Linked DNA regions of Bombyx mori. The protein of the gene in region 1 purifies or fractionates together with the protein of each later gene. This does not show direct contact. Links are inferred from orthologs where the notes say so. Each region holds a gene or a part of one and is shown in the gene's direction. Other genes may lie near its edges.

What was found. The genes of interacting proteins can lie anywhere in the genome.
Region 2: the proteins of sec13-like protein (region 1) and nuclear pore complex protein Nup85 purify together in Homo sapiens (affinity purification with western blotting; 4 studies listed by BioGRID and IntAct, with this or other methods). This does not show direct contact. The link is inferred for Bombyx mori from reciprocal best matches to the Homo sapiens genes SEH1L and NUP85.

Annotation. Positions count from the first base shown.
Region 1 is NC_085125.1:13,430,826-13,437,111, forward strand, and holds the start of sec13-like protein, read left to right. Parts: upstream 1-2,083; 5' UTR 2,084-2,130; coding exon 2,131-2,265; intron 2,266-2,445; coding exon 2,446-2,602; intron 2,603-3,414; coding exon 3,415-3,568; intron 3,569-3,992; coding exon 3,993-4,100; intron 4,101-4,421; coding exon 4,422-4,538; intron 4,539-5,438; coding exon 5,439-5,597; intron 5,598-6,286. UniProt on the Homo sapiens protein: Component of the Nup107-160 subcomplex of the nuclear pore complex (NPC). The Nup107-160 subcomplex is required for the assembly of a functional NPC.
Region 2 is NC_085123.1:527,456-533,831, reverse strand, and holds the start of nuclear pore complex protein Nup85, read left to right. Parts: upstream 1-2,203; 5' UTR 2,204-2,316; coding exon 2,317-2,391; intron 2,392-2,463; coding exon 2,464-3,156; intron 3,157-3,785; coding exon 3,786-3,908; intron 3,909-4,409; coding exon 4,410-4,625; intron 4,626-5,006; exon of another isoform or gene 5,007-5,378; intron 5,379-5,523; exon of another isoform or gene 5,524-6,376. UniProt on the Homo sapiens protein: Essential component of the nuclear pore complex (NPC) that seems to be required for NPC assembly and maintenance. As part of the NPC Nup107-160 subcomplex plays a role in RNA export and in tethering NUP96/Nup98 and NUP153 to the nucleus.

The DNA of each region.
Region 1 (6,286 bases):
TTAGTAATTTTTATGTCTCCTTTTATGCCATTGAGCTGGGTAAGGGATCTGATGGTATTAAGCGTTGATCGTCGTCCATTGCACTATGAGAAAGTCGTCTAGCGGCTGTGCAGTCTTTTAGGCGACCGGAAATAGGATGGCAATACCAATGCGTCCCCACAATACATCAGTATCTACCGGTATAGGCGCGTCACTCAATACGAATAAGTTTTGTCCCTAAAAGAACTGATTTTCAGAACCATTCGAATTCATTTTAAGTTTGTTAGGACCTATTAACAGACGTTACACTGTAGCGTCTCTAAGCGATGCCTGCCACTTATTATCAGCTGAGCTGCAATCTCAATTGCCATATTTTATAAAAAATTAATGAAATGTTGTTGACTTTTCATAATCCTAGGTAGAATATTTTTAAAACTGTAAAATAATAATTGAAAGACATTTTGTTAATTTTAATATACTTATACACATATAAATAATAGTTGTGCCAAATTTAATACCGTTCGTAAAATTACGGACTTAAAAATTTCCAATATTTAAATTATTTTTTGTCTCTTTCGTTGTGTTTGTAATGTAAATTAAATAAAGTAAATTTGTAATAAATATTCCGGCATCAATACCTAATAGTATAGGGTCCTTAGGAACGGATTCTTTGTAAGTAATTTAAAAATAATAAACATAACATATTTTCAACTCCTCTTTTTATTTAACAAATGTTAAATATTATCATTGAACACTTAAAGTGTGTAGTAAATTAAAAAAAAATACGTAATTGTCTATTTGACAAATTGGTCAAGTTATTGGAGATCTGTTTAATGAAAATTATCACACTCATAATTAGTTAATCATATACAAATTTTGCATCTATCTAAATTGTTCTGTTTTCGTGTTTATTTTGACAATAATGTTAATAATTGATGTATTTTTGTGTATGAATTTGTTATATTTATAAATAATATTAGCTTCCTTGTTAATCTATGTAATTAAATTAGCTAGTACACTACTAATTTTATTAAATGCCTATAATTTTTAATTGTTTTTTTTTTCAAAGTATATCATGAGCCTTTTCACACATCTATAGATCTTAGTGTAGGAATGGTAGGTAATAAATACGACATCGATGTTGGGAGAAAAACATGGTAAGGCGGGTACTAACGTCTAACGAAAGACCACTGTTATTTACAGCATTGGTCTTCCGTCGTGTGGGGTACGAACTGCTTGAATTGCTTCCCTTTTATAAATTATATATTATAAATTATTATTATCTATGCTGTTTTCATTCATGGACTGAGGCTCTTTAACAAGTTTTCCCAAGTTACCACAAGTTTCTCCCATTTAATCTACATGGGTGCCACTCCGGGAAGGACCGCTTAATTGCTGGGGATGAGATTAAATCCTTTATCGATATCCTGTAAAACAATTGTGGTGACCTAAAGAATAAGATGGACAGACAGACACAAATGAACGAGTTTTTGGCGGAAACGCCAGGACCGAAGTTGTGTGTATTGTTTTTTATTTAATTTAGTGTTTCTTCAGGCTTAAAGGCTTCGTCAAACAGAAAGCGTAATTAGTGCGCGTCAGAGCGCTACGCTATGACGCCGAGATGTGTTGTACTACTATACTATGAGCGCTATAGCGCTGGCGCTCTGTTTGACGGTATAATACCGTAGTAGTACAATACATCTCGGCGTCATAGCGCGGCGTTAGTTTAGCGCTCTGACGCGCGCTAAGTACGCGTTCTGTTTGACGAAGGCTTAAACGTGTAGTAATGGTGCTTTAATTACTGTTTTGCATCCGTAAAAGCGCATGTGGGAAAATGAAACAGTCGCTTGACATGGCTTTTCGGACTCTTCCAAAAAGTCCACTAAAGTCTCTTTAAATAACTGTCATTTTACTGTGACTTTATTTCATCCCATCTCACCTCATTTTATTTAATTTCATCCATATAATCTTTCCCTTTACGTTGTTTTTCATTTAACAGAATATAAAAAAAAATTGTCTGTATGAAGTGATACTTTCGCCTTTCATATTGAAAAATGGAATTATTACTGTCATTAATGTCATTTTCTGTTAATTTGAGGTTATAAATTGGGATTAATGTAACGGAAAAAACACTGTTAGTTCATAATAACAATGAGTGAAAACATAGCTACGAACCTTTTCGAGGCCCAAACGATACATGCCGATCACAAAGACCTTATTCACGATGTCGCGTACGACTTCTACGGGGAGAGAATGGCCACTTGTTCCAGTGATCAATACGTAAAGGTACATTCTTTATATTATTTTTAATTAGAGTACGTACCTTTGTTTTACGTACGTATAGTTGTAAAACGTGGTAAAATGAAATTTTTTTAGTCTTCTGGTAATTCACGAAAGCTTTGTTGCTTCGTAGTAATAAGCAATCGTGAAAGTTAATAATTTGGAATATGTTATTTTTTATCTTAGATATGGGACACAGACGGGCATGGAGGCTGGCGGATGACAGCGAGCTGGAAGGCTCATCACGGCTCTGTTTGGAAAGTTACATGGGCCCACCCAGAGTTTGGACAGGTCATTGCGACTTGCTCCTTTGATAGAACAGCTGCTATTTGGGAGGAAGTGGGTATGTGGAACCATTTGTTCATACCATTTAGCATTAAATTTATTACTTTTTCTAGATGAGTTGTTTTATAATATATTTTATGTATAATTAGCTGACCTGGCAGACTTCGTAGTGCCTCAATCAATAAATAAACTAAACTTTTGTATAAAATAAACCTAAAACAAAAAAAGGAATCCTTCCGGCGGGGGACATATTAAAGGAAAACAAAATTGTTATTTTTATTTAATTCTGAGCATTTTTATATTTAGCTACCTTTTAAACTTTCTCTGGACCTCTACAAATAATACAATACCAAAATTAGCCAAATCGGTCCAACCATTCTCGAGTTTTAGCGAGACGAACGAACAGCAATTCATTTTTATATATATAGATTATAGTATATTCTTGTAAGTTTTAGCCACAATTTACCCATTTTTTGCAGAATGTAAGGTGTAGGGTGCCTGCTTTTCATAGTTTTGCATCATGGTACATTCAATGTACTTCTGAAAGCTTTCATTAGTTTTTTGTGTTTGGGTAGACAGACTGAGATCTTAGATCCCATATCACTTAACATGAGGTGGGCTGTGAGCTCGTCCACCCACCTAAGCAATAAAAAAATTACATTCTAGGAAACCTAGCTTGGAAGTTGCAAAATAATATAAATTTTAACAGACATAAAGTGTGAAAAACTGTGACCAAAGAATGGCCTATTTAGTCATCACTAGCACCATCACTAGTCATGCAGAGATATACACAAGCCAAGTGCAGAATAGTAGGAGTATATAGTTCAAAATGATTGGTTCAAATAAATATGTATTCAATATTGTATTCAGGTGACACCACAGCAACAGGCTCTGAAAAGAGTTTACGTACATGGCTGAAGCGGTCAAACCTCGTTGATTCAAGAACTTCAGTAACAGATGTTAAATTTGGACCTAAACATTTAGGTCTACTACTAGTTACATGCTCAGCTGATGGCATTATAAGGTATTATGTTGATCCATAACACTACACATCAGTAAAACCTCCTGGTACTACTTATTTCAAGCATAAACTGATAGCTACTACCACCCTGCCTATTTCTGCAATGAAACAGTCTCGTTTTCTAATTTGTAGGCTGTTTTACTAGATGGTTAAGAATTTGGGTCTAAATGTGAGTGATGATTTATGTAACAATATTGGCAGCTACTAATGTAATCTAAGCTGTAAGCATTACCTGGTTTTCTACATTTTCAACAATTAAATTCAGCTAATTACCATTTTTCATTTGAATTAATTCTGTGTCGTTCTAGATAAATAGTTGACCTCAGAATCCACATAAGGCTATGTTGTTACTGGTATAGCAATACTGCTCTTCATCTTCTCACTTTAATCTGTTTGAAGCGAAAACAACATTCTGTTTGATTTACAGAATATATGAGGCTCCGGATGTGATGAATTTGGCACAATGGACCCTCCAGCACGAGATACCGACGAAAGTTTCAATTAGTTGTTTATCATGGAACCCTTCATTGTCTAGGTAGGTATGTATTTTTATTATAATTGGATGTAGCAAATAGCCCATCTGATCGTAACTGGATATAGTCACTTATGGACAACAAGTAGTCAACAACAACAGTCAACAACAACAACAACAATAATAACGTGTAGTCAACAAAGAGCTCTTTTAAGTCCCCAGATACTCATAAAACAGCAGGGAATTTAGTTTAGAGGTTGAAAGTGAGAGTAAGAGAGAGTTTTTGGGAGCAAATTGTGTTTTTACTGTGTAAAATAAAACTGTTCTGTTGGCTTGTATTAGTGACTTTTTTATAATATCTTCAATATTGCATTTTTTTTCTAGGGTAGGAAACCCACCAATGTTGGCAGTAGGCAGCGATGAACCTAACACAACAAATGCCTTAGCATCAGTACCATCTGATAAGAGCACAGCTTGTAATGGAAAAGTTTTTATTTATGAGTAAGTATTAATTTATATGTTGTAATCCATGTATTAAATATACACTTTTACTTTTATATGTAAATATCTAAAATACTTATTACTTGAAATAATGATAATTCTAGACAGTGACTTGGATGTGCCCCTGCCATTGACAATGTCTACTGTTAGCAGTGATTTAAAACTATCAGTTTTTGTATTGTATTTGTAGTGAATGTAAACATTTGGCTTCATTCATTTACTTGATAGATTTGCAAATTTTTATAGTTGTCTATAGCCCAGGGAAGATTTTTGTCATAGTTTGGAGAGTATACGACAAAAGGAAGATATTCAACCGAGCGGGTGACAGACAGTCCGAATGTTGATGTTCAGAACTTGTATATATGCAAGTTCCATTCCCGATCCTGCGGACAGAATGGAAAGCAGTCGACGTCGCCCCAAACACGTCATTTCGGATCCTCCCGATCCACTAACGGTGCTTTTAGGTACCTCAAGCACCGGTCATTGTTCTCGTCGAACCCGTCGCTTGCGACGAAGGGCTCGACGAGTAAATTAACCCTCAGACACAGCCCACTGAGTTTCTCGCCGGATCTTCTCAGTGGGTCGCGTTTCCGATCCGGTGGTAGATTCTGCGAAGCACGGCTCTTGCTAGGGTTCGTGTTAGCAACGTCATCAGGTTTCAGCCCCGTGAGCTCACCTACTAGTTAAGGCGAAGCTGATATAGCCTCTCAAGGCTATCAGATTAGGTGGGAAAAAATAAATAAATATGCAGGCTTATCTTGAAAATGTCGTAAGCCAGATTCAGGCATCTAGCAAATATCTTGTGTTCTGTGATGGCTACCCGCCACAATGGTACCGCTGTGTACGTAATAAAAACTCTTATGAAGCTAAACAAAAAAAATTAATTAAATTTGTGTTCAGATACAGTGAAACGTCTCGTCGTTGGACGCGAACGGACTGTCTGTCATCCGTCCAGGAGCCGGTCAACGACCTCGCCTTCGCTCCGAACCTCGGCCGCTCGTTCCATCTCCTCGCCGTAGCCGCCAAGGACCTGAGAATCATTAAAATCGAACCACTTTCGTGAGTACTTTATTATCTTGTCATTGACATGACTACAGATGATGCAAAGTGTAAAATTTCCGTTAAAATTCACAGAAGGGCCGGTAAGCATATCGACGCTTGAAAGGCAAACGTGACTAAGCGACAATAACTGCTTTGTACATAAATGATAGGCAATAACCGTATTCAATGCGCAAAAAATATATATTACTAGGTCTATTAAAATAATTTCAATCCTACAGCTAGATTCGTTAAAATAGATTTTTTTTCAGGTATTTCAACTTTAAATTAGTCTACTGTAAAGTTCACGCATTGTCGCTTAGTCATGTTTGCCTTTCAAGCGTCGATATGATGATAAGGTACCGTTTGAAAAATATGGTTCATTTCTGCGGCACTATAAACAGAACACCAGCCCGATGGTCAGATCTGGTTCAGAAAGTGGTTGGTGGTAGTGAGAAAGAGAGAGAGAGAAAGAGAGAGAGAGAAAGAGAGAGAGAGAAAGAGAGAGAGAGAAAGAGAGAGAGAGAAAGAGAGAGAGAGAAAGAGAGAGAGAGAAAGAGAGAGAGAGAAAGAGAGAGAGAGAAAGAGAGAGAGAAAGAGAGAGCGAGAAAGAGAGAGAGAGAGAAAGAGAGAGAGAGAAAGAGAGAGAGAGAAAGAGAGAGAGAGAAAGAGAGAGAAAGAGAGAGAGAGAATACACTTTATTGCACACC
Region 2 (6,376 bases), on another chromosome or scaffold:
CACAGCCATTTACAATACATTGAAATAATTTACAATTTTAAATGTGCAGTTAGAAAGTTTAAATTTGGAAATGAGTGTTAAAATAGTCAAGAGTTGGAATTCACAGCTAAAAGAGAATTTTTGTATGAGCTATGATAACAAATAAAATGAAATGTTGCTTTGATATGATAAAACATGTACATGTACAACATTCAAGGTTACTGGACAGAGGTAACATCCAACTTGCACTGCAAGTATTCAACTTACACAATGTTTACACCAAAATATTTCTTCACCACAAACACTTCACAAGTAACACCACTAGTCTGAGCTGTGCACAGGTACGAACGACGAAACAGTAATATTATACTAGATATCATTCAATGATAATTTTTTATCACATCAACTACGATAAATTAGTACACAGAATCTTCTACGATCGCCGAACGTCACGGTACGACACAGAACACAACACGACCGCCGAAGCGGGTTTCTGCGGCCTAATTCACTCGGTTTAGTTTTTCACCGCTCGCTACGTCACAGTCGCGGTTGCAGCTCACGGTTTTTGTATCAATATTATGGCCCCTAGACGAGGTGAAGGCCTCAATGATTCGGATCACTCTAGAAAGTCAGGTCACATGAAATATTAAGAACTAAACTTACCAAAAATAGTTAAATCCGACTTTGACAACAAACGAAAACTTTCAAGTTAAATTGTTTTTATATTGGATATCGCATTATATTAATTAAAACGTCGAGTTATATTATAACAGTTGACTTACTTTATAATTTTGTTGTAAAATAATATACCGTTTACAAAACAGTTTTTGACGAATTGAAACTGTCAAGATTTAATTCATGACAAAATCAACAATATGTCCTCCAACAGGTCATCCGGTCAGCGACATTACTTATTAAATAAAAATGCAAAGTCATCAAATGTTCACGTACCTTTATACCTTGTAAATACTGGAAGGATTTAATTTCAGGGTAAATATAAACTTAAAAACTTTTTTTATTATAGGGGATAAACGTTTCACAATGAATCACGAGCGTCAAACTACGAAAACAAACAAAAACGTCAACTGTCAATGCATACCTTTTTAAAATATGTTTACGGCTATCATACTCGACTTTTTAGTTATCTTGGGTTAAAGTTTGTCTAGCACTGTTGGCCGTATGTTCGTGTATTTAAAGTTTGTAAGAAACTTTTCGGCGGGGAGGCAAGGTAACTGTATGGATTATTTTATTTTGTTAATTTAGTGTTGCTTCTAGTTTAAACGTATAATCATGGTAGATTATCAATCGTTTAGCATCTGTGAAAGTGCAGAAGTTGAAACCCGAAGTACAAAAGTCGAACGCGAACGAAATTACATGTAGATTTCAGTAAATTTCATTATTGGGTATCACTGTTCTGTCTGTTTCTAAAGCATAACAGTTAGAAAGCGTTCCGCTATGAAAGGTGGACTACATAGTCTATACAATACAAATGAGTCTTTGATTTTATGTTTTGTGATCGGTGGCAATATTAACGTAGTGCTCGGTGCGACACGATAATCTATTTAATGTGACCGCTGCTTATTACATATCCGACTCAAAGGACGAGGCAACGTAAAATTACATCGCGAAACATGACCTATCCGATCCTTTCACTCACGGTTACTTTCTTCATCAATCACGTCAATTGCGACGAAGTTTTCGATGATCGAATTAACTCATAGACACAACCCACTGCGTTTCTGGCCGGATATTCTCAATGAGTCGTGATTCTGATCGGGTAATAGATTTTGCAGCGGCACTGTTCTTGCTAGGGCTAGTGTTAGCAAATTTTCTCAGGTTGAATTTCTGAGCTCATCTACTTGTTTGCGCGTAGCTGAAATAGCCCCTTAGACACCAGCGAATAGACAACGAATTATAAAAAATAACAGGTGCGTATTGCTCGTCAACTTATCTAAATCTAATAGGAAGGAATGAAACCAAATTGAATCATCTGAAATTGCAATGAGATGAGATGAGGTGACGTCGAAATAGAATTGTGTGCGTATTTTTGAAAAAGATACCGCTAAGCCATGTCCTGCGATTTTGTTTTATTTTCTCACACCTGCCCATATACACATGCTAAAAGATTACTAACCCACTATTATTACGCATTTGACCAAAAAGAATAATTGGCTGTATGGATTTTGTTTCCTTTGCTTTCACCTTGTTCTATGTGTGAAACAAATAAAAAAATCAGCGCATTTGAAACGGCGGTTTCTGATCAATTCTGTTTCGCATTCAAATGTTTACAAAATTTTATGTGAAATTGCATTGTGTACATGAAAGATTTAATACAAAATGAATATAACGACTTTTTCTAACAATAATGTTCGTGGCGATGATAGTAGTCCTATTATTCGAGCTAAAACATTTGTAAGTAATTAACATGATTCAACGAATATATAGGTTATGTTTGAGTTAAGTTATTTTTTTTGTTTCTTACAGAATATACCAGAAAAATGTTTCAATAAGGGCGTAGGATGTGCGTGGAGGAGTGGTAACAAGTTTTCTATCTACCCACGCAGTCAAACTGTTTCGAAAACACCAAAAAATGATGTCGAAAACAAAATACTCAATATACGTCACGAGATTGTATTATTTCATCCGATTTTACGAAAACTGGTAAACGAATCCAATGGTACATATTTATCTCTGCAGAAACTCGTCGATTCTTCAAAAAATAATGACAATCACGTGGAATTATTAAAACTTTCACGACAATATCGTTCTATTATAAGAGTGTGCATTGAAAACTTGCAAGAAGCCCTTAATGATGCGAAAGACGGCAGCGACATGATCAATTTACAATCATACATTACAATATTTTATTCTGTTGAATGTATTTGGCATTTATGTGAGATCCTTTACATAGATAAGATTCCCGGAGACATTGTGTTGCCATACCTCCTAGAATGGGTTCGATTCCATTTTCCGTGCCATGAGCAGACTGCAGCGCAGTTGCTGGAGGCCTGTGAGCGAGGTTCAGAAGACCACGATGACTATTGGGATACTGTGATTGGCATGGTTGTGCAAGGGCGAGTAGATGTCGCCCGAGCTCTACTGAAATTAAATTCATTATCAGAAACAAATGAATTTAAGCTTGTTGATAATTCATTACGGAGTATGCCTGTTTATAGTGTGAGTATAAAAATGAAATATAATTTCTAAAGTCAAATTATCATTTAAATTCCTCACAAATAAAGGGAACAATTGATTTTCATTAAGTATTCCACAGTATAAATTAATTAAGAGCAAAAATTATACTTTGGATAGTTAAGAGACAATTTATCTGAACAATTCCATCACCATTTAGAGATGTTTGGAACATGCTAATAAGATATTTTATATGAATGTTTTTTCTTTATGAATGAAAGATTACTGGTGGCCCGGAGGCCTTTCCAGTTTCACCAGGACAGGTGGGCGAGTAAAGGCTCAGCCATATATGAACTTTACTCTTGTCTTATTAGATTTTTATGTCTAAACTACTGAATGACTGTTCACATGATATAGGTTATAGTCCACACATGTCAAACTTCAGCTGGAAAACTATTTTGGGAAAAACAATTAACACCATCAAAATTTATAAATTTATGTTATTATTAATTTATGTAACCATTGTGTCAGATCAAAGACTTCATTGTGGTTATGAAAAGTTGTATATTATTAAACAAATTTAACCTGGGATATCCTATAGCTAAAAGTTCGATCTTACCTCACATCTTGCCATAAACACTTTACATCTACATAACATGGATATAAAATTACAGATATATGGTGGTATATCAACTGGGGAGTTTACAGTAACTTGGAAGCATTGGCAGGCTGAATGCAGAGCTAAGGTTACTAGCAGAGTGTTGGCATCACAACCAAAACTTGAACTTATTATGAGAGTAAGTAAAGATGTGTGAATCAATTAAGTAACTGCATAAACTAGAAACTGTTCTTGTCCTCAAAATTCTTAGATTAAAGTGTATACCACCATCATCATCATTTACTACATTCAAAAAATTTGTAAAATTACCTATTTATCTATGCTAATTTCCCCGTTCTAAGCCAAATCAAATAGGAACATGGCAGATGCAAGCATACCTGTTGAATAACGGTAATAATAACAGCATAATATACAGCAAATAAGAACATTTAATTAATTTAATCAGTTAATCTATAACTTCAAAATAAATGAGTTATGATTTGAATATTGTGAAATGAATTTTTTTCTTAATTGAAAATGTTTTCAAGAATTATTTTTTTATATTATTAAGTGGTTCATTAATTAACACTAAGTCTTAAAATAGGCTTTAGGAAGATGAAGTGAGCTAATTAGGCTTATTTTTTATTATACTAAAACATTGTGTAATTCGTTTACTAATTTATACAATTTTGTCCCACAGTTAATCATAGGAGAATATTCAGCATTTGAGTCAATACGTAGCACATACACATCGTGGTTTGATATGTTGGGAGGCTACGTAATGTTCACAGCACCTTGGTCTAGGACTCATGAGTTGTCTGCTGCAGCATCGGCCTGTGCTGGAATGGGATCTATGCCCTCAGGCTCTAGGCTGGATAGGACTTTACGGGCATTGTTGGAAGGTGATATGCATCAAGTAAGTGACAGATGCCAGTAAGCTGGTAAAAAGATTAGTTAAATTTTTAATTAATTGGTACAGCCTGGCCATATACAAAGCACTGCGCAACCGGTGCAACCATTTGTGCAGAGATGCTAAAAGACTTTACTTTCACAAATCACTTGAAAATCGCAGCCCTGCTCATACTTGGAGATTCCTTAAATCTGTCGGCATTGGCAAAACTCCGGTCTCTTCTGTCAAGGATACTGACTTGTGCGCCCTCAATAAGCATTTTTCTCTCCCTCCTGTGTCACTCAGTGATTCGTCAAAGACGGCCACGTTGCTTAAGATTTCAAGTCTATCCGTACCCCGGATCCCTATTTTTGACTTAAGTCCAGTCTCGGTTGCTGATGTCCGTAATTCCTTTTTCTCCATCTCATCCACGGCTGTTGGAATTGATAACGTATGCTCTAAAATGATTGCCCTAATTCTTCCAACGGTAGCACCTATACTTACCCATATTTTCAATTTTTCCTTTACCTCTAGCAACTTTCCTGATTCTTGGAAACAAGCCTACGTTGTTCCTATCCCAAAAAGCCCCAATCCTATTTTGCCATCTCAGTTCCGGCCTATATCTATACTTCCTTTTCTTTCCAAAGTCCTTGAGCACATTGTCCACCGTCAGCTGTCGTCTTTTCTCCTCTCCCACAATCTTCTTAGCTCCTTCCAATCTGGTTTTCGCAAGGGCCACAGCACGGTTACAGCTCTTCTAAAAGTGACCGATGACATTCGCTGGGCCATGGAAAACAAACAACTAACTTTATTAGTGTTGTTAGATTTCAGCAGCGCTTTTAACTCTGTTGACTTCGATGTTCTGCTCGAAATACTCAAATCAAACAATATCTCCTCATCTGCTATTAACTGGTTTGATAGTTACCTTCGGGGGCGCTCGCAATGTGTCCGTCTTGACGAGATTTTCTCGGATTGGCAGAACGTCAGTGCGGGCGTTCCCCAAGGTGGTGTTCTTTCTCCTCTTCTGTTTTCTGTGTTTATAAACTCTGTCACTAGGCTTATATCTTCTAAATTCCACCTCTACGCAGACGATCTCCAGCTATATCGCCACTTCTCGGAGCCTGAAGTTGAATCGGCTATTGCTGCGATGAACAGTGATCTGAAGTCTATCAGTGAATGGGCAAAAGCCTACGGTCTGCACATTAATCCGGGAAAATCACAGGCTATCATTATAGGGGGTAAACAATTGCGCAGTAGACTCAGCGATCCTATACTCCCCCCAATTTATTTGGATGGGACTCAAATAACTCTAACCGATTCAGTTAAAAACCTGGGTGTTATTGTAGATCGACATCTTTCGTGGAGTTCTCACGTTGCTGAGATTAGTAGGAAGGTGCACTTTGCCTTGCACTCGTTGAGATGTCTGCAGGGCTTCTTACCTCAGCATACAAAAATATCTCTCGTCCAAGCTCTCATTCTACCCATAATTGATTACGCCGATGCCTGCTACTTGGATGCCACTGAGGAGCTCTCAAACAAGCTTGAGAGGATGCAAAATCTATGTATCCGTTTTATATACAATCTCAGAAAATTCGATCATGTTTCTCATTTTCGCAAAGAACTTAAATGGCTCCCTATACGCCTTCGTAGGAATACTCGAATATTATGTCTCCTATTCAATATCCTACATAAGCCCACTTCTCCCTTATATTTACGTGAGCGATTCTCTTTCATTCGTTCTCCTGATGCTCCCTGCAGGTCCAACCAACGTTCTGTTT